4 linked regions of the Drosophila melanogaster genome follow. Changing the gene in region 2 together with the main gene of any one other region gives a genetic interaction. Each region holds a gene or a part of one and is shown on either strand. Other genes may lie near its edges. The genes, in order: lola, kn, Rbfox1 and nau.

Evidence for each region.
Region 1: of kn (region 2) and lola, changing one suppresses a phenotype caused by changing the other (phenotypic suppression), as found in Drosophila melanogaster (one study listed by BioGRID).
Region 3: of kn (region 2) and Rbfox1, changing one suppresses a phenotype caused by changing the other (phenotypic suppression), as found in Drosophila melanogaster (one study listed by BioGRID).
Region 4: of kn (region 2) and nau, changing one enhances a phenotype caused by changing the other (phenotypic enhancement), as found in Drosophila melanogaster (one study listed by BioGRID).

Annotation. Positions count from the first base shown.
Region 1 is NT_033778.4:10,540,165-10,544,926, reverse strand, and holds the start of lola (longitudinals lacking), read left to right. Parts: upstream 1-1,635; 5' UTR 1,636-2,022; intron 2,023-2,931; exon of another isoform or gene 2,932-3,086; intron 3,087-3,153; exon of another isoform or gene 3,154-3,582; intron 3,583-4,762. UniProt on the Drosophila melanogaster protein: Putative transcription factor required for axon growth and guidance in the central and peripheral nervous systems. Repels CNS axons away from the midline by promoting the expression of the midline repellent sli and its receptor robo.
Region 2 is NT_033778.4:14,804,053-14,809,053, reverse strand, and holds the start of kn (knot), read left to right. Parts: upstream 1-1,992; coding exon 1,993-2,204; intron 2,205-5,001. Other genes in the region: hui (hase und igel), read right to left, coding at 411-471. UniProt on the Drosophila melanogaster protein: May act as a 'second-level regulator' of head patterning. Required for establishment of the PS(-1)/PS0 parasegmental border and formation of the intercalary segment.
Region 3 is NT_037436.4:10,479,519-10,484,426, reverse strand, and holds the start of Rbfox1 (RNA-binding Fox protein 1), read right to left. Parts: upstream 3,016-4,908; 5' UTR 2,482-3,015; intron 1-2,481.
Region 4 is NT_033777.3:23,712,328-23,720,142, forward strand, and holds nau (nautilus), read right to left. Parts: upstream 6,031-7,815; 5' UTR 5,630-6,030; coding exon 5,102-5,629; intron 4,297-5,101; coding exon 4,174-4,296; intron 4,111-4,173; coding exon 4,036-4,110; intron 987-4,035; exon of another isoform or gene 948-986; coding exon 869-947; exon of another isoform or gene 813-868; coding exon 619-812; 3' UTR 487-618; downstream 1-486. Other genes in the region: CG10300 (uncharacterized protein), read left to right, coding at 1-139, 209-469; CG10232 (uncharacterized protein), read right to left, coding at 7,149-7,548, 7,613-7,815. UniProt on the Drosophila melanogaster protein: May play an important role in the early development of muscle.

The sequences.
Region 1 (4,762 bases), 4.3 Mb from region 2:
ACAAAAACATTAAAAAATAAACAAAAAGCGTTGAACAAAATTTCCAACTTTTATTGTTAATTTCTTTGAGCGCAGCTTTTTTAAGCTGCTGCGCGGGCGTCGACGCCGACAGCGCTACACTGCAAGAAAATATTAGTAATAGATCGGTCAAAACACTTTTCCAAATCTTACGTTTGCTCTCAAGGCATTGTAATGTGCCAATTGAGTTAGAAATCAGTTAGAAATTATATGCATATTAGCAAAAATGTAGTTTCATAAATGAATTTAAATTCTACATTCCAGTAAAAATATGCTTACTGACTTTAGTTAATCATAACACATATGTATTTCTCACCGTGTAACAGCATTATTGTTGTTCTTGTTTTTCGTGTAATTATGATCTTGTGCTGACTTTTTTATATGTACATGCATGTGTACATATATTTGCTCAAATCAAGTAATCAGTTATATTTAAGCATCAAAATCAAGTTTTGGCAATTGCTAATGCAAGGCGGTGGTAAAAAACGACCAAAGATTTATACGAATGTGTGCCGTGAACATTGACGATTTTATTAGAAAGTAGCAATTGGCAAAACAAACAGATATGCAAAATGGCAAAATGCAAAAAAAAAGAGTGGATCCATAAATTGAAAGTTTAATCTTTTCTTGACACCTTTCTACTTCCCCAGTCGGGAATTTTAATTGCCTCGCAAAAAATAATGACAGGTGTCTGGTGAATTATCTTCTTCAGCGCTAATAGCATTTATTTTATTTGTAGTAAAATTACCTAAATTAGCTTTTTATGTACATTTACAAATTTTAAGTTCTGCATCTGCATGGTGAGATCATTTCAGTTGCCGTGTAAGCTTCTTAAAAAAAACTGTGTATATATGAATGTATATATTCTTTCATATATGTATATGTATATAAATTTATAATCACATAAATATTTATGTACTTATGTAAATATTACATAAATGTATGTACATAAGTATGTTCCTCACTGCTTTGTAATCTCTAAAAATTGTAGAACCTACATTGTAAATTATGTATGACCTTGACATTTCATAATTTTTTAGAAACATTTCCACTTGGTTTATAAGAATTCGTTAAAAATTATGTTATGTATGTACATACACACATTTCTATGTACATATGTACATAGTACATCATGTGGCTTAAATCTCGTATTATGCCATGCTCTCATTATGCTTATTATAACTCTTATACATACAAAAAGTATTATAAAAGTGTTTCCCACAAATTCCACGTTTTATTTGACGATCTAAATACATAGCTTTTTACATAGAACTCCATGTGCCATATTTCCTTATGTGCTAAGCAAAAAAAAAACACATTTTCTTTGCCTTTTCATTTAGCGCGACTTCCTTTTGCCACAACCCCTTCTTCTTCTTTCTTTTCTTCCCCTCAATTCCCGCGCAAAACGCTTTTTTCCAACGAGACAGTTGCAAAAAGCAATCAACTGTATCGTGGAGTGTCCCCATCTCGCTCGCACTCACTTGTTCTAGCGCACGAACGATCTTCGGTTTTTCGAATGCAGCAGAAAGAACAACAAAAGCAAAAACTTCGTGCTCACACACACACGCAAAGCCTATTTCTTTTTTCGACTTTTATTCGAACTTTTTTGCAGCGATTTTTCAGTAACAAACGGCAACTCTCAGGAATAAAATCGTCGTCGCTCCGCTCGTTAAATTCTCGTTGCTTTTCCACCCACATAAAAAATCAGGATAAATTGTTAGTAGTCTAAAAAACAGTGCGGATTGCATAAATTCAAGCGGAGCACCGATTGGAAAAACACCCACGGAAAAAACTATGTGATGTTAAATACGTTTTTGTGTCGAGTGCATAATTTGTTGTAATTAAAGTTCAACTGCAAATGCAAAAAGACGAAATATATAATAATTTATAGGTGTTTGTGAGTGTTTGCGCCCCCTCTCCTGTGCAACGTGTGGGAAAGAGAGAGAGGGAGTGAGAAAGAGGGAACGTGACCGAGTTGCCATGAAAACTCCAATGGAAATTCAGGTGAGCGATTGTCAATCGACGTGATGTTATGCGGGGACCATCATCTCTATACGTTCACCTTTCATATGCACACTGTAGCCGTCGAAAAGATCTGTAGAATTTATGATTTTGCCACAGAAACGACACTCCTCGCATCAATTAGTATTGGTTAGAACATTTGGCATGCGTGTAGAATTTCGCACAGAAATGTTAATTTTCCAGCTGAAAACCCGATGAAACCGTTAAAAATTAAGGTACATATTTAGGTACACATAATTTGTACACCGAAATTAGAGAGAAAACGCGCGGCGATGAAGTCATGCTGGAAGCCAAAAATAAATCAACGCCGATCATAAAAACGTTTGGAGAGTGCACAAAATATAATTTGCGCTTTTTAGTGGGAAATGCATTGCACACACAAGCCGAGACCATCTTTCATCTCCCTCGCACACCCTTAAACAACTGCAACGAGAGATGGAGAGAGGTGTCGGAGTGGGGGAGAGAGAGAGCTTGCTCGGCAACGGTAATTTTACCATTTCGAACATTATGGCTTCGCTTTGCTGCGAAAAAAACAAGCAAAGCTAAAGCAACAACAAAATCTCGCCCCATGGTGGAAAACAAAAACAATACCAATGCGAATGATATTTTCGAACTCCGCCAAATATGTGCAAGCAGAGTTGTCAGCCTCGTTCGTTGTCACTTACAGTATATGAGGTTCTATTGAACAACTTTATTAATTAGTACGTACGACTCACATCTCACTGTCTATGCCAAATACTATTTACCACGTAGAGACCCTAAACAATTTTTGTGATATTCATATTCAATACTTTCTCCAATTATATTTAACATTGTCTTGAGATTAGCAAAAACGTTATCGTGTTTTTATAGACAGGCTTTTCAAGTAGTGTAGTTAGTAAATTTGACGTCCGTTGGAAACGTATTTCCTTCTTCCTTGATGTGGAACTTAAATTAGGTGGCAACCAGATAATGAAAAGCGTGTCCTCCTTCTGCATCATCCTAATTTGTCGATCTTTTGTCGTGAATTGGCAACTCTGTGCGCCAAGCATACAAAAAGCACACGTCTGAAGAGGGGTGGCAAACAGGCGACGTCAACTTATTTTTCGAACTCACACTCTCATTCGCACTCACACTCTTCGGGTTTCGCTTCGGCTTCGTTTCCAACTCTCTCGGCGCTCTTCGGGGTCTCTGCTTATGGGAACCTTTCGTTTTTTCGAGCACCAGCGGAAAGTCGCGTCAGTCGTCAGTTTTTCTTCAGTGGCTTCGCGCGTCCGCAATTTTCAGTGTGTGGTGCGTTGTTGCTGCTGCCTACTCTTTTCTTTCTGCTCTCCACGGCAGCGGGAAAGGAAAATACATACACATGCATACAGGGCCCCATCACATACAGTAAAAATAAATTCAACTTTATTGCTTTTCCCCCCGTCGCGTTATCGTGTGTGTGTGTATTAGTATTATATATATTTTACTATATATATACATATATGGATTGGAAAAGCAACACCAAAATTTGATATGTGCAAAGTTTATTGACGACTACGTGCTGCCTGTGATTCTATTTCGGTGTGTATATAAAATTGATCAATAATGTTTTAAAGTACCGCTTAATAATATACAATAAGAACTTGCATTTGAACTGTACCTGGCAATTATCTGCCTGAGATTGTGTGTGTTTTTGCATATCGAATCGATACTTCCAGTGGTGTTTCTATCGATTTTTCCCTATGCTCACTTCACGGGAGAAAGCTTTTCACCAATGTACGAAAAGAGACAGGCACAGACAGAGCAGGAGAGGGAGAGCTTTCCCACAAAATGCAACGCTGAAGTAAATGACGGGCGGTTTTCATTAATTTTCACACACGCACACACTGCCAGTGGCTCACTTTCCATGCAAATGAGGTCAAGTGTTGCAGTGGGAAATGTTTTCTACAAGTACACGTGTATGTGTGCGCGAGTAGGAAAGTTATATAAGCTTTTCATTACCGATTGCGACGAGGGAAAGCTTGATAAAAAAAACTATGATTAGTAAACACGAAGATTGCCAAGAGCGAGTTCAATTAATTGCTTTCTATTATAAACTCCTACAAAAAAGCACGTTTTTCATTTCGATAGATTCCCAAAGTCTTGGTGGCCGCCATCTTGGTTTTTCCCCCACACATAAAATATTTTGTTCAATGCTAGGCTCTCTCGCTCTTTTGGCTCCCCTTTTCTTTCTCTCCCGCTCATTTTGTCATACTCCCTCGTCAGTTTTTATGTTTGTTCACGAAAAACAAAAACAACAAGCGTGAAATTTTCTCTCTGCACTTTTCACACACACTTAGAAAAGTGGGAGAACCAGACGGCTCAGCATGAGGCAAGGAGGATGATGAGGAAGGGAGAGAGAGAACAGTCGCCACATATTTTTGTTTCCACTTTGTGCTACACTTCTGCTACGCCGCTTTTGTTGTTTTCTTTTCGACACGTTTACACATTTCCATTTTTCATATTTTCGTGTCGCCTAATCTTTTTTATGGGACTGCGCGACGTTGCTAAATTTCACTTGTGACTTTTGCAAAAGTTTCATTTGTTTACATTCTACGCACATGTGCAGAATAATAACAATAATAAATGAGATATAAAAAAGCTTTTGCGCAACAAGTGTAGAAAAGCAAAAACTGTATTTTTCTCTTTGGTTTCTTGCCTTAATTCTTTGTTTACAATTTAAACTTGTACACTTCTTTCAAGTCATCAACTTTTTTTCCTT
Region 2 (5,001 bases):
ATGCTAATCCCAAAAGTATGCTTATAAATCTCAAACATTCAACAATGGCAATTTCTTTTTTGAGTGTGAAAGTTTGTCCACTCAGCGATCGCGTGAATAATCAAACGTAATGCTGATTTTGAATAGCCATATTTTAGGAATCGTAATAAAAAGCGAATTTGTTGTGCGGAAAGTTTTGCTGGACAAACATTGTCGCAAAGTTAATGAGCTACGCGAATTTCACAAACCAGTTTGGGTTTCCGGATGGGTTCGATAGGTTTTTGGGTATTATTAACATACTAGCACCCGTCGACCGACTTGTTAATTCAATTAATAATAAACACGATAGCAGCTCCGACTAGCGATGATGTAAGTGCACAATCCGGCTTAAGCTCTCCTCAAATTATACTCAAATTTGCTTTTTTGCTCACCGGAAGAGGCCGAAGCGGTAGTAATCGCAAACAAAGCGATGGCAATCACAGCGTACTTCATTGTGAAGCGGTATGGATCTGTAAGAACACACACTTCGTCACTTAGTAGGGTTAATTCAGCGGTTAGGGGTATGCAGAGGGGCCTATCTGCGGTTAAGCACTCACAAAGACGAAACGAAAGACTGAGGCAGCGAACGCGTGAAAAGTTCCAAAACGACTAAGCTCGCGGTGCGGCTCCCTAGCGCTTATATATGGAAATTTCGAATGCTGACGCAGTGCGAACCATCTACATCATTATCATCTAAAGCTGGAAGAACAAGCAGAAGCCGTCAAACAGGCAGAAGAGTTGGGCAAATAACTCCACCGGTAGGTAGACTGAACAATAAACAAATACAGAAAAAAAAACAAGAGGCAGGCATTTAAAGTTTCTTAAAACCTCTGGCTGTGGCTCATAAACGTAAAGTTAGGCTCAATGATTCATAAGGTTAAATACTATCACATCTCTCAGTTAATTTCCCCTCTCTGCAGCAGAGTTTATCTCACATATAAATCCACCCAAAAAGTTAATGATTATGGGAAATAAACACATGACGAAGCAGCGAAGCGCCAACGGGGAATTTCTGTTCTGTTTGTTTTCACTTTATTTGTATTTCGCATTATATATTCGAACGCCAAACTGTTTTGGCCAGCTCGTGTAAATTGGCCAAGTGCCCTCGCTTTTTCTTATTGTACTTTTTTTGTACCCAGTCTGCGCCTTGAGCTCTGCTTTTGACCCGATTCGTGTTTTTGGCAATAAAGAACTTCTCGAACTTCTTCTCTTGGGCTTGGGGCAATAACCTGATTACAACGTGGCCAACACCTAACAAACGGAGTTTCAGAGAAATATTATGCATTATACATACATTGCCGATCATAAAGCTAAACTATATATACTCATTTGTTTAATGGCTGGCATGCGTCCACTAATTATAATATTTTGTGAATTTTAATAATATTATGCCTCGCTCGGTTTTACCGCTCCATCTGTTTGAAACAAAACTGGTTTTGATGGGATTTTCGATTGATCTTGCTCGACGAAATGAAAACAAATTTTGTTATTTAATTTTACATTATCATATATGTATATTCCAGGAAATCCTTTCAATTAACCGGTTATTTGGGGATTATTGTTTTTAATTGCCTAAAATAAATCTAAGGCTTTGATCAATCAAGAAATAATTGAAGACAAGTTGTGCAACACAAATTATATTGCATATACACATTTTGCACGTTTTGCTGATAGAAGTAGGGTATTTCTAACAAGTACAATTAAATAGACATATGTACTTTTTTCAGTAAAATATTACCAATTTTTCACGCACTACTTAAGCCAATCTACCACCTTAATTCCGTTTTTTTTCTTTTGAACACATGAAAAAATTCAATTCCTTAGATTTATATTAATCTAATTGAAATCCACAAATTTGTTGCCATTTGTTGTGCAGAAGTATTTTTGAATTTCGCACACGTTCGTTGGCAAAAATATGTACAAATATTGAATACGAAAAAGTCAAGGAAAAATTCCATTCTTTTTCTCGCAAAAATGGTGACAGAGCAAAATGCTGACCGCCGCCTACTAGGAAAAATAATCCCCAGCCGATTTGAACGATTTATTATTTGGCCCAGCCAACTCGGAGCCTGTCCCGGAATACCCGGAACCATTAATCATCCGAGTCCAGATCCAAGTCCGAGTCCGAGTGGTGGACAGGCGGCATTGCAATTGGTGGACATTTTGGAGTGGAAGAAACTTTTGCGGTACGTGGCAACGTGTTGAAATTACAAAATGTGTTAAAAAATGAAAGAGCAGGGCGGGTAAAAAGCAAAATAATATATTTCATTCACACACAGACTTTTGTCTCTGCTCCGCCGTCCATATAAAAAACATAAATTTCCTTTGAGAATAGAACTTCTGGGATGGAGAGGGGGGGGGGGGGGTGCAAGGTGATTATGTTTGACAGCCGACTTGGGACACGAAGCACCGCCCCCTTTTTCATCGCCAAACAGGACATGGGTATTAGATCCTGGCCAAAGTGCCAAAACTGGCCTCACTTTCCGTCTGATTTACGGCCAACTATTTTGTTTAAATTTTTACCACTTCCCTGCTATCGACACTCAACTTAAAACATATAAAACCAACTATTTAAAGAGCAAATAAAGTTCAATTTGATTTTCTTTGGCCTTCGTTAATAATTTTCCTGCATCTCTCTGGGGATCAGCGAAAAATATGAATTATTGAAACAGCTGAAGGAAATAATATAACCAAATCGGAAGGCCAAATCTGTTTAATGTTTCAGATATGTTGGTGTGGGTTGACCAAATGACAATATGCTTTTTAGCTTCAACCTCCCTCAAGCGAAATTGATTTTCATGGTTTTTCTGTTTTTTCGCCTAAAAATACACAAAAGAGTCGAAAAAATTTGACTGTGATTGTCACTTGAATGTGTGGGTTGGGAAAACCACTCCAAATCCACTTCACCAAATATGTCAGTATGGAATCACGAACCTCGCTTGATTTCTCCAGTGATTTTTCGCAATCAGCCTGATGAGGATGTGCCGAGAACGTTGCTCATGGAGGCAGTGCTATGATTAGTATCCTTTCAGCCAGGTCAAAAGTGACGCTGCCGCATGCCAAGTGGCCTCGGCCAAATGAAACTTTAATGCGAAACAAGGACAAAAGGCTGAAAGAAGGCTGCCTGATGAACTACGTGATGGTCAGACAAATTGAAGTTACACTGGAAAATAATTAGCTAATTTCCTAGTTTGCTTAGGTTAAGGGATTAAGTAAGAATGTGTTTAAAGGACTCTTTTATAGGTAACTTGTTACTCTAAAGAAAACTTATCCACAGAATAGATGTGCTATTTTATCGCAGTGTATGTGGATAGTCAACGACAAAGTGAAATGCATTGAGGTTGGTGGCGAACAAACGCGACCTGAATCGCGAATTGGAATAGCCAGCCTACTCCGCCCCCTCAGGATATATAGCTACTTCGACTAGCATATGCGCCAGATAGTATAGCTGGCGTATCAATTTCGATAATGTACTTGGACCGCGAGTATCTTTATTATCCTGACTGCTGTGCAATTATTTCCGACTGCTTTACTGTCGTACCGCTTTTCCGAGTCCTGGGAAACGCAAACAAAGGATATTTCGCGCACACGCCTCGGACATGATTGCATCCGGGCAGGAAGCATTGCGTCGTGTCCTTTTTGCATCCTTACATCGTCGCTTCCTTCCTGCCGATCAGAACCCCTGGCTGCTTTTCATCCGCAATTTTCACGCCCACTTTGTTTGATGATGACAAATCTCGTTGCGTGTTATCAGATTGGCCAACTTTCCGTTGCTATTCCCCCTCGTATTGCATAATTATGTTTATCTTTGGAAGCTGCGCTCCTGCCACGTGTCCTTGCGTTTTGGTTAGCTTCCTGCGATTTTGCTCGGAACGAGTGGCACGTGCTAATCGGCGGTCGTCTGCACCGCCCATGCAACCAGCCACCCCCCCTGGTAAGTGCAACCCCGCCTAACATGTCCGATAATTGAAATCGCTAAGCTGAACAACGGAATCGAAATGGCTTCATTAATCAGGTCACTTCGATGGCAGCGCATAATGTTCTTCAAAAATTTGAATTGGGGGCGGTTGAAAAGAGGAAATTGGTCTATATAGCACTTAGCGCGATTGAATTTGCTCATTTTGTGTTACCTAATTGGGGAAAAGATGTTTCGGTTATTAATCATGAGTGATACTTACTATTGTATTACAAAAATGGTGCATATATCAGAAGATATATATTATTAATAGATCTTAAGGAGCATTTGTATCCATTCACCAAAATATGGTAAAAATAAAGCTTAAATTAAATTTGCTCATTTACCTTTAAGGACATCCTTTGCTTAATGAGTGCACTCATGCCCACACCCACTCGCAACCGAATGAGTGTCGCCCTGCGGACGCATAAATTATAAATAAAAGCCTCACACACGTGGAGAAAGAGAGGTGTATATAACCTTAGAGAGAGAGAGAGAGGGAGAGCTACAGTCTGAGGCCAAGAAGTGTGCTAAATATTTAAGTACTTAAAACCATAAACCTGAGTATTTATAAATTGGCTTTAACAAGCTCGTATGTGACGGTGGTTGGGTGTGTGTCTGTGGGCTGACCCTTTTTTCGGGCACAAGGATCTGCTCGACTCGATTCCATTCATTAGAAATGCTCACTAATGTGCCCGACTTAATAATAATCAAATTTATATGCATGGTTATGTCCTTTAGAGCAGGACCACAAAACTGAAGTTTCGAGTGGATTGCGAATGGGATTGGCTGTTAAGTTTACGGAGAAACCTTTGAGAATGAGACGAAGATAATATGTCAATATCCTTGTTTTCCAAAATGTCTGACCAAAAGTGCAGATGTCCAGTATCGAAACACGCCCAAGACCGGTACCGTTATTCTGCTACCAGTTTTCTTGTTTGTTTTTGTTTGTTAGCCAGCTTGTTTGTGGCCGACACTGAGACCAAAAAGGCCAAAAAGGTCGCCCCCTCGGGATTTCCTTAGTCCTG
Region 3 (4,908 bases), on a different chromosome or scaffold from region 2:
GAGCATAATAAGACAAATTATTTGCAAGGATATGAAAAGGGGTTACAAAATGGAAGGAATAAAATACTTTTCATTTCAAATAATAATTAAATAAATCAATATTCAATAATATAAGTATATACTGCTTGGCAATTTCATTTAAAAAGGCTAGTTTCAAAATGAGTTGAGTAATAAAAAAAAGGAAAGCATTAGATCTCTGCATACTGCAATGCACATTTTTGTACATATAAACTGTGACAGAAATACCCACAAATTACATGCTCATAGAATCTCGGAAACATATCGTGCACATAAATTCCTACTCTATTTTATTGAAATTCTGTGAGGAACGTATGTGCAATCTCTTCTCATTTTTTTTCTGTTGAATAAGCATGAAAAATATCATGTTGCATATTGTCCGAAATATAGTTTAGAAGTCTTGTGCAAAAATGCGATGTCGCAAGTAAGCATAAAAAAAAATATCAGGCACAGCACCCATCTGCCACCCAAAAATGTGGATCTGCTCATGTAAATAACTGCAAATGGAGCTGTGGAAAAATATTGTAGTTGACAATAGAGTTTTTCATTGGTTGGCTAAACAAGTCAAGGTTCGGAGTTTTTTAAGTAATTGCTGCTTATACAAATTTACGGTGCAAGTTTTCCCTTTGTTAGACGAGATAAATGGGGGTGGCATATTTACGCCCCATGATTTATGGCGCTCATTTTTCGAGGACATTATAAAAAAATAAAAACTTTTTGGTGGGTCAAAGTGAAGAGAAGTCAAACAAAGATAAGCGAACCAAACTTTGATTTTGTGTGCCATTTGTTTATTGTTCTCAATTGTTGTTACATTTTGACTGCGACACAGGTGGTATATTTGATCGTTTTCATGTCCTTATATTTTCAAAAGGGCCATTTTGAGCTACTTTTGTAGCGTTGATAAATGAGAGCCATCTTCACATGTCACGAAAGTTTTAAGTTTTTTAAAACTTTTTAGTATTAAAATCCCCTATTTTTCTAAGCCCGATATATACAATAGGTATCCTTTTTTGCGAACCAACGTTGATATTTTCAAAGACATCCTTGTTGCATAAACAGGACCGTGGACCGTGAAGTATTTAGCATACAACCAAAATGTGGAGTCTCATTTTTCGCTCGCATATTTTCGCCCACAGCTTTTATCCTGCAGATGACGGAAGTCTCAAAGTGACAGACAATTTTAGCCTTAACAAGAATAACAGCAGCACGCTGAAGTGATGGAAACTCTAGCCACATGTGCGCAAATATTTTTTCCTGCTTCTGGCTTCTACCGTCAGTGCCTTCCAGCCTCAGTCAGCATAATAATGAATTACATACGGTGGAGATTCTTGTGCCGGGAATCCGGCAATCCTAGCCGTCATCAACATCGGGCAACAACTACCTATGGAAACAGTCTGAGCCACTCGCTTAGCTTCCTTGCCACGCTTTGTTGGCTGCAGCAATTTTACAATTGACTGTTTCTGCTGTTTCTAAATGGGGGAAACTCCCCGTTTTGCAGTGGAAACCCCCTTTGTTTAACGGGGAAACGGGATGGCGAAATGGGTGAGTTTGTAAAACGCTTGACTTGTTTTACGCATTATTTACTTAGTTGGGATGCTAGCTACCTCTTGCTCCACATGTACATGCACGTGTTTGTATAAGCTCACGCAGGAAAAACTGTTGTCACAACTTCGATTTTGTTATTTAAAGTAAAGTTTAAAGTTATTTAAAGTAAAGGCTCAAAGTCACTAAAAAGAAGTCTTAAATTAAGCAATAGAAAATATAAGCATACATTTTGGCTTAAAAACTATAACTATCGATGCAGAACCCATTTCTCTCAGTGTTGCTGTGCGTGTATACCCTTTTAGTTGTCTTTGTGCGTCCATTCCGTGGGGGATAGGGGCGTGGCAAATGAACTAGTATAAAAGTAAGTTTGCGGCAAGCAGCAAAACGTTTGGTTACAATTAATTTCGTACTCTGCGCTGGGTAATAAGGGGATATATGCACAGATACAGGGTATGTGAGTGCCATAAAAGGGGGGAGATTGTGATGCCCGGTGGGGGGGGGGGTGGCCCCTTAATGTGAGCAATTTGAAATGAAAATCGGCCCCGGAGTCCTGTTGCTGTAAAAGTATTTTTGCGGGCATTTCTACCATTATTTGCATCTCCAGCTGAAAATAAATGAAGGGTAAACGCAAATCGAAATTCCCTGCCAGACCATCAACAATGGAAGTCGGGCAAATAACAAATGGAAAAATTACACGAATATCAAATCAAAATTATCTTTACGTAGCGGGAGATGTTTTAATGCGGGACATAAAGCAAAAATGGGCAATAAAAATGTTTTAAATGCGTTTGGGAAATGGGCAAATTCTCAAGATATCTCAGCGGAAGACTAGTCCAATAAAAGCTGTTCAAATGGGTAACTTAATGTGCTAAATGGGATACATTTTTATTTCTGTGATATTTAATAGCTAAGGCTTACTTGATCGACGTGCTCTTGTGAATCGTGAAAAAAGAATCCGTTTGCTGTCCGAATTACTTGTGGTAAACACACGAAACAAACACACGTTTTTGTGTTTTCTTTTTTTTTTTGCTTTTGGCACTAGATGCTAAATGACAGGCGGCTTATGCAACATTTATTTGATATTGTATTAAATATTTAACGCACGACACGACAAAACACTTTTGCCTCATTAATCTAACGCACACAAGAGCAGCGGGCAGAATGAGGAAAAGCTGCTAATTGAAGCCGGCAGCACAACGAAATACACAGTGCACACACAAAAAGCACACACAATCACAAAGGGACACTAAGCCTTTAGTCGTTGATTGATACGGATAGCCCAAGGAATTTGAGGTTTTTCCCACTGCGGGTAATGGGACTTGGGGTGGTTTTGAAAAATTTGTGACGTTTTTCCTGTTAACACGAGAATTTTACGCGACTTGCCAATGCGCGAGGCGAAAGCGATGAGCAAAATGTTTTCCGTCCTCACGTGAGCACTTGCAATGGGAGACTGAAATTTTGCGCAAAAGAGCCTGTAAGTATGCAGCAGCCTTTGCCGTATAACACTACAGTCAGTATAACAGTTTGATGCTTACTTGAGGGATGAGAAAAATGTATATTTTTGGTGAAAGAGCTCTTTAATGCCACCTGATAAAAGGTAACATTAAATTTGGTTTAATGCACAACGACCTACGGCATCATCAGCATAAACTTGGCCAACTATTTAACCACAAAAAATAAGCAGAAAAACAGAATAAATCTTATAAACATATGTGTTCAAGGCAGAAAACCATTTCCGCCAAATTGCCCAAGCCTAGTCGCACAATTTATTTTTATTTGAACCCCGAGAAGTTTATGGTTTCTTCTTTCCCCCGCCAAAATGCTGATTATTATGATTATTTACTCAGCCTATTTGTGTGTGGGCGTTTGGTTACATAATTAGGCCATTAAGTATAAGTGCCCAAGTCTCTGATTTCCACATTTCCACGGCCCAGCATCACAAATCGATCAGGCTGGCAAACAAATTCCGTTCGACAAAGAGAGGCAATTTTAAATGGAAACAGAAGGCTATAAGGAAAACGTATTTTCAGCAGCAACTTTTCTTTGGCGGAAAACGTAATTGAATTTTTATTGACATTCTAGCGGAAGTGGAGGTGAGGACAGCTGTCACTTGAGCGACGAAGTTGCCTGGAAATAAAGCGCAACTATTTTGTAGAAAATGACCAGGACAGTAAAGTGGAAGGACGAAAATCGGGAACGAAGAACGAAAGCAAAACCAAAAATCTAAAGAAATCAAAAGAAAAATATAAATTTCGGAAAATTAATTCCGTTTTTTAAGGCCGCTTTAAAAGGGGATTGAGCAAGGGATTGCCAAGAATAACCTAATTAGGGTTGACTTAAGGCAACCGATGGAAAATTTTCCGCAGATTAAGCTCGAAGAAAAAGCCCAACGAAAATATTTAAAAATAACAATTTAAAATTCAGCAGGAGAGAAAGAGAAAATGGAAAAGGGTTGATTTACATGAAAATTGTATTGAGTACTTTTTAAGACTTTTTTTTTGTAGTCATTTTTGTAAATTTGTTTACTTATACTTTGTAGATATTATGGCTTTACAAATGGCATTCAAACATTGTAATCCATTCTTAATGGCAAATAGATAAGTTTATAATTACAGATATAATTGCTTTTCTATATGGCGATCCAGTCCAAGTCCGCTTACCAATTAAAGTTCGACGTAGCCATTTGTCATGACTATCTGCATCATAATATGCCACTATTATCATTTACAGCCACCCGTTTTTGTCCAATCGCTTTTCTCATTACCAGGAGACACCCTCGTCTCTGGCCGGTCATTAAATTATTTTATATGGCACATTAAAAGTGAGCATAAACACACAAACTCTCACTGGCCCTTACTTTCTCTACTATACGAGTGTGTGTGTGTGTGTAGAGTAAGTGAAATGCATTTGCAGTGGGGGGGTGTGGTCATAAGCCAAAGGCTTATGTGGAAAAGTAAGAGAAAGGGGAGCGGCGTCTGTCCGAGTGGCATTTCCATCTGCGGCAGGTTCTATTTGCTATTATTATCATAGTCGGAGTGCTTGGGCGGTTATTATTGTTACCACTGAGTCTGCTCGTCGGCTTCTAAGCAATTATTTAAAGCACCGCAAGGACGGGAGAAATGCAGGGACAACTCTCCCTTTCTCTGTCCGCGGGGAAATGAAGGCAATGTCCAGTGTTGGCTGCAGAGATTTCAATTTAAAAACGAGGCCAAACTGCTGGGCGAAAAGCCAAGGGGGGGGGGGGCTTCGCACACGTGTGACCATACTTTTTTATGCCAGCACAGCAGGTTCTTCAAGCACTGTTTTAAATTACATAAATAAATTCTATTTTTAAACTAGCTGTAT
Region 4 (7,815 bases), on a different chromosome or scaffold from region 2:
GCTGAAGAAGGCATTTGCTCTGGTGGACCAATGCATACCACTGCGATTTGTTGAGATTCATATGATCAATATGCGCAAGGAGGGACAAACCATATTCAATTTTGTAACGAAGTTTTTGCCCTCCAAACTGCCTTTCAAGGTGAATCTATCATCAAAAAGCTTGAATTGCGTTAGGATTGGTAATTAATCTCTACAATATTCTACACAGTTCGTGGTCCACAAAAAGTCGGAGGATCTGTACCAGCACCTGCCCAGAGATGTGATGACCATCGAGTATGGTGGCACCAATGGCTATCAGGCAGAGGCAGTGGATCATTGGCGCCAGAAGCTGCTGGACAGCAAGGATTATCTGGCCAAGGATGCCCAGTATGGTACTAATGAGAAACTGCGCGTCGGATTGGCCAGTGCCTGGGCCAATGGAGAACTGGACGGGATGAGCGGTTCCTTCCGCAAATTGGAGCTAGATTAAGTAAGACGACTCTAGTTGCTGTTTTGAATTACCATTTAATTAAGTTCTAATGCTATACAAATAATTTAAGGCCTATTCGGGTCACTGGGTATCTCGTGTATCCTCTTAAAAATAGCTTTACAATTGCCTAAGGTGCTGATACTTAAGTGCTAAGTGCTGCACTTCCGTTTGAAGTTCACGTGCAGAGAAGTGGGTGCAGTTGCTCCGGATGAGGGCGGCGATTGGGTATCTGAAGCGGAGGGCGTGGCCTTATTTTGAATGGGACTCGTGGTGCTCTTATTGATGCTCTGAACAATCAGATTTAGACAGTCCAAACTGGAGCCATTGGCATTGCCATCAAAGTCTATACAAAAATATTTTAGATAAATACATCAAATACTTTTTTTTTTTTACTTTTACCTGTAAACTGACCATATTTCTCCATATGTTTGTTGTAAAAACTAAGTTTATCTTCTAGATAAGCGCCAGCATAGGAGCTCTGCAAGGAAAAACATAAATAAATACAAATGGAAAAATCATATATTTTTTTTTTAGTTGGCCTCAAGCGAAATTGGGGAAACAATAAATTACAGAAAAGTGTCGCCGTCGAAATGACAACGTCAAATTTGCTCCGGTCCTGTCAACTTGGCCAACGAGTGCCATACAGAATGCAGTCTAATGATGAGATTAAGCCAAAATTTATGCCAGTAAAGAGATTCCACAGGCCAATTAAAACGCATTGAACCACCGCACCACACCCATTGTCTGCCCCAACATTGTGGGGCATTGTGTGCAGTGCACTTTAGAGGCAATTAAATTAATTTTGCGCATACGCAGACGACAGACAAGGCATCCGGAGATTCGGTCGGGATTTCATTAGAAAAATTCGCTATAACGCCGATGCTAAGCAAATTATAATTGCCACTTCTGGGTGGGTTTCCTTGCTGCCCCCCCCCCCCCCCCAAATCCGCATCTGGTGCATCCAAAGTGCCGTCACTTCGTCTGCAAGGATCGACAAATACAGGGCATCCCGTATGGCTTATATGTATGTACGTCTGTTTATATTTAGCGGACAACAAAGTACGGAGTGATAAAACAACAGAATAGCATTCAAAGCCGAGTGAAGTGAACTAAACTGAACGAGAGCAGATGAACTCACACTGCACTTTTATAAAGCGATTTATCATTTTTTTCAAGCGTTTAGTGACAGCCTGCGCTCGATATGCCGCAGTCAGCAAGCGGATACACTGGGAAAAATTACACAAAAATAGCACAACTGGGTTAAAAGCAATAAAGTCTATTTATATGACAATATAATACCGAATATTGAAAAATTTCTTTGGAAATAAATTCTCAATTTAACAAGCATGTTCGAAATATATTTTTAGACATGCCCGACTTCTTTCTGTGTACTTGTTTGCAGGTCTTTATGGTATTTCGGTGTATTTTATTTTATTTTTTTTTTTTTGAGCATATATCATGCGTTGTATCTGAATGAAATGCCACTTATCACTTGGGCATTCCGATTCTTCGGTTGCGTAAAGATTTTAAGCCGCTTTTTGGCGCGTTCCCCTTAGATGTTCTCCTCCGATCTGTGAGCGTGTAACGGATATGCGGCATTATGCGATTTGTTAGCCATAAGTTGCATGAGTTTTTACCATGAAATATGCTTTTAATATACTAAACCCACTTTAAAAATATTGCCACTTCTCTGCGAGTTGTGCGGTCAGTCGTAAGATCTCATAATCCATTTCGGAAATATCACCGAAAAAATGCAAGAACTACTTGCCAGATATGTATTTACATTTTTAATAAGATGCAAATAATGTTGATGTTTATTTTCGGAATTATTTAATCAATCTTTCTCGGAAACTGAAAAAGTTACTTTTTGAAACGGGGACGTGTGATAAAGATTATCAGTGGTGGTTAGACCATAAAAATCACACCAATTATCTCTTCTCAATAATTTGCAATATCATTTATAAACTGCTTTCCATTCGTAGAAAATATCTAATAGTGTAGCTGTAAAGCTATTCAAAGATAACAAAAGTTTTCGGTAGCATATCTGTACCTGATAATAGTTTAAAAACTGAATGGTAGGGAATCCGATCAATCCTGACTCACTGTCCAAATGGATGGTTTGCACCCACGTTACCCACATCTTTCCGTGAGTCATTTGCACCGAAAAGCTCTATCTTAAGACTTCAATGATTGCGGCTATGTATTTCATTACGTAGAAATTTGACTGATATAGACAAGGTGGCACTTTTGTATATCGCAAGTACTACACTTTATTGGCGGCGATAAGGAAATTTATGGGCCAACTTAGCGTTCGCATTTCGTGTTGGAAACAGTTCAAAAGGAAATCTTTTACTTAAGTCGCCGAGGTTTATAAATACACGGGCTCCAAATGAATGGATATGGATGAGATGGATGGATTGCCAGGGTCTGAGATGCATTTGAATGTCTGCACGTTTGGCGCTATGCCAGTTTTTAATCAAACTATGGCCGCACATTAATATCTGCCAATGGGGGGCGCAGTCAACATACAAATACGCTAAGTTTTATGGTAAATTAACAAATTTGTACATTAAAATTGTGAGAAACTTAAACAAACTGCATGGAAATTACTCAGCGCAGGCCAACCCGAAAGTCAAATGAAAATGAAAAGAAAAGAGGGCGTTGAAGATGATGGCAAAAATGTTTGCATAATTGTTGACAATTTGTTGCCCTGTCATTCGGGAGTAGATATGCATGTACAACCCGCTCCCGTCCCCCCCCCCCCATTTTTCATTCATTTTCATTTCCCTTCAATGACCAACGACTTGGCCATATCTTGCAACACCTTTCGAAGAAGAACACCCCGAGATCTTGTCATGTTTTTCCTGTGCAATTTGTCAACTGCCACAACGGTTTTGGTTCCACGTCGCAGGGAAGCTATTATGAAACAGAAAAGCGATCGTCGCAATCCACCAAACATGGGGATGAAGATTCTGGTGCCGATTCCTGCTCCAACGAATTTGTTGTAATTAATTTACAACACGATTTCCATTCGGGCTTATAAAAAGAAAATTTATTTATTGCCTTTCACTAAATGCAGACAACGACCCTTTCCCCTGTAAATTCTCCTAAATTCTCCAGCTATTTTTCCTCTAAATTTTTTTTCCCCCGTTCCTTTGATAAAAGTTTGCTCCCCTCACATCTGGGCAAACTTTCTCGATCATAACTCATAATATTCCCGGTTTTCGAGTGAATGTGATTCAGAAATGTGGATGATGGGCTGCCGGCGTAGCTTATTAAGTAGCACGTCAGCGAGCGCATAAATTCCGGTCAGCAGATACAACAGATATCAGATACAGTTTGGGGACTGACTCTTTCGGGGATCCGTCCGTATACATATTCTATTTTCATGTTCGCCATTGCGACGGACCAGACCCTGAGATTTTGATGAATGTGCGCGTCGCCAAAGAAAAATGTACGAAAGCGCTGCTCATGCATGAGAATTTTACGAGAAAATAATTGCGGAACGATATACGCGCCGATATTGTGGGCTTAATATTAATTGGCGGTTAGTGGACAAAACTTACCAGATAATCGGACTGGCAGCTTTTGCCGCTCAAACTGGGCGCCAGGTTGTCGCCATCGCGTGTGGTACTGGATTCCTAAGATAATCAATTTAACCAATGGTATTCTCTATTCGCGGTGAGATGAGTTCACTCATTTACCTGTAGCAGATCCTCCAGGCTCTCGATATACTCGATGGCATTGCGCAATATCTCAACCTTCGGCAGGCGCTGGTTGGGATTGGATGAAGTGCGTCGCTTGAGGATCTCGAAGGCCTCGTTAACCTAGAATGTGAACGGAATAATAATCAATTAATGGCCATCGTTGAAATCATGGAAATCCATTAGGCGTGCCATAAAAACACAGAACACGCGGCGTGTTCCCCTTTTAAGTGGCTCTTTAATAAAACATATTTTAAATTAAATAGAGCATAAAATTTTCAACAATTAAGCCGTTCGCCCGTCGTCTGTCTCTTTATGACAGCCCCCCATCACCATACCCCTTCTAACCGGAGCTCCCACGATTTTCCGCCTTTCACTAATGTCTCTATGTGGAGCTATAAATACGTGTGGTTCATCCAAAACTTTTACGACCGTCGAACTCATAAATGCCGCTGTTTAACTCTTGGTCTTGGCAAATGTTTATGTTTTACGCATGTTGGGTGGTTTCCCTTTCTGCGCGTTATGTCAATGGATCCGATCCTCCCTGGTGGCGATGTGTTAATTTGTGGGGTGCTAGCCGAGCTAATGAAATTACTACAAAGTTGCAGTCCTTAAACGCAGGGGACTTGCGAACTGTGGCGTAATCTATTTTTAAGATCGACCGAGGATTAATAAGCCTGCTGATGGAAAAGGACTCTTGAACAGAGTTCTGAGTGGTATGCCTATATTCAAGTCCCCATAAGCAGTTTTAAGTTATTATTATAATAATGAATTGAATGAATCAAAAATCTACTTTTAAAGTGAACCATTCTTTTAATGAATGATTGAAAGATGAAAGTGCTGTATTTGTATCAGTAGTTATTGCACAATATGTTTTTAATATTTGATAAATCTGAAAATGTGTGTAATGTGAGCATGGGATGCCTACCTTTCGCAGTCTCCGGCGTTCCCTCATAGTGGCCGCTTTCCGACGGTCCACGGTGACGCTCTTCTTTTTGCACGCCTTGCAGGCCCAGGTGAGGCATGGTCTGGAGGATTGGGCGGAGGAGCAGACGAGGGGCGCCAGGACGTGCTCCTCGGAGCTGAGACTGCTGTTCTCGTCATCGTAGTCGGTGGTGTAGATGGGCGACGGTGTCATATTCATGCCCAATGGCTTGTCCAGCTCAACCGGATTATGATTCGCATGACTGTAGTTGCAAGACGAACCCGATCCGTTGGCTGAGATGGAAGCCGCTCCACCATTTCCCGCACTCGCATCACCGACGGCATTGAAGCGGCTAAAGAAATTCTGCAGTGTCTGGTGTGGATTCTGGCCGGGATGGGCTATCGGATTCTGTTGGCTATAGGCGCTAAATCCGTATCCAGGATGTGTCGGCTGACCATAGCCATTGTGGTACTCCTGCTTGATGGTTTGAGCCGCAGGCATTTCACTGCTGCCACTATTATACTTGGTCATTTTTCACTTCACTACGATTTTGTTATATTTTACAAAACAATTTTGGTAGTTCAACAAGTTGCTGAATTTAATTGCTGATACTAATTACGATGGCACAGTTAATTTAGTCAGTTGATTATTACCATTTTTAACGTGGTTTAAGCTCTTTTTCTAGGTATGCTAGGTCATTAACACAAATTTATGAGTTATGGTTACACACAAGTTTTAGGCTGTGGTTTCTATTTAATTTAATTTGTTATAGTTTCACTTTCGGGATTTTTAAAATAGAACCTTAATTAGTTGGTTACACTTTAATGATGCTTTGTAAAAACCTCCGACATTTTCAAAAATATTTTTCGACTTCGATTTGCGGACCGTACGCGAGTGTGTGTACCGCCTTCCGTCGCAATCGCAACACATTTGGTGACAATATCCAAGAATCCAAGATATCGTGGGCCCCCAGATGTGCTCGCGATCCTCTCGGAGTGCGGATGCTGCTGCGTTTTGAGTGGCTGAGTGGCTCTCGAGTGGTTCCTATTTTTAGAGGCGCCCCGCCATTAGACGACATTGGCGGTTCTCTAAGGCAGAAGGACGCTGCCGCAGGCCACGCCCCTCCCCTTTTTTTTTTAATTTTCGTGAGTTTTCAACGCGATTTTCCGCTCAATGTGAAGCGTGTTTGTGAAAGGCTTAGTTCAAATCAAATAAATTGAATTTTACCTGGCCAGCGATTAGTGTGGGTTGGTGGGGGAGGTGGTGGCATAAATTAGCTTTCGGGGAGCTCAACAATTCGTTAATGTGACACATTTAGTGGAAAATCCGGCCCCCCGTCCACAGATCCCATCAATGGCAGCCACTTTTCTATTGAGTTATAGTTGCAACGGCCGAGAAAAAAGCGAGAAATTGAGCAAAAAAATAAATAAAATAGGAGAGGCCGAAATAAAAATAGTCAAAGAATTGTGTTTATTTATCGCTGCTCAGGCACAATATATATCTTTGGAAATCACCTTTAAATCTTCCCCAGCGATATTGTAAATCTTTTGTCTTAGGACCGTGGTTTGCTCGAGCACTTTCCATCTTCATTTTTCCACTTTTCCCTTCTCGTCTTTTTCCATTTCGTATTTTCTCCTCACATTTTCCATCTTGCCGTACTTTGATGGATGCTTTGTTTTGATTCGGTCTGATGGTATTTTGGTGGCAAAGACTATTTGTTGTGCCACACGATAATCCCAATTGTAAATTTAATCATTATCGGCCTTTGTTTTCGGGCAGTGTACTGTCAACGCACAAATGTAACTCAGAAAAGAACGTTTAAAAAATCAAAATCATTAAGTAAATTCGATTTATTGTGTTATTAATTTAATCAAATAAATAAAATACATATTAAAACTCATTCTTATGTGCATATTTGATTTTACTGGCTACTTGATTGAATTTTCCATAATTCCATAATCCACAAAAAAAACACATTCACTCATACAAACAAAATGCATTCACATATTAACAAACACCATACACTAGTCGAGATTCCTTAGCAAGAAAGTTATGGCTTCAAATTTGCCTTTATCCATGAGAAAAATGCTCCAGTCTTTGTGTAAACACCTGGTTTTCTATCTCCGCAATTCTCACTTCCATATGAAACGATACCGGCCAGATATACGATATCCTGGTAATCATTATTAAGGGTTAACATCAAGGGACCTCCGGAATCACCCTCACAGGAGTCTTCTCCTCGAATGCCAGAAGCACAGATTTGTGATTCGTTGCGGAAGAACGATATCTTGTCTTGGCAATAATATCTGTTTTCATAAACGGTGTTATGCAACAACACCTGACTATATTCTCTGTTTTTCGTGTAGCCCCAACCGGCGATTTGCAATGGGTGATTATGCAAGGGGATGGGATCTTTCGGCACACAAATCGGTAGAATTTCGTGGGTATATCTAAGGAAATAAAAACTTTGGTTCATAATAGTCAGAAAATGATGCCTTATATTGCAATACTCACCGAACTGGCGTTTGAAGACGCACCAAGGCGATATCGCTTTCAAACCTTGAGGTGTTGAAATATTGTTCGTGGACATTGAAATACTCGATGCCGATCTCTACAAAGGGGGCAGCGCAGTTTCCTGTAAAGTCGCAATCCGGATTGGTGGTAATATCATGCTCGCCCAGCCGCACTCTCCTGAGCACCAAATCTGTGTTCACCAT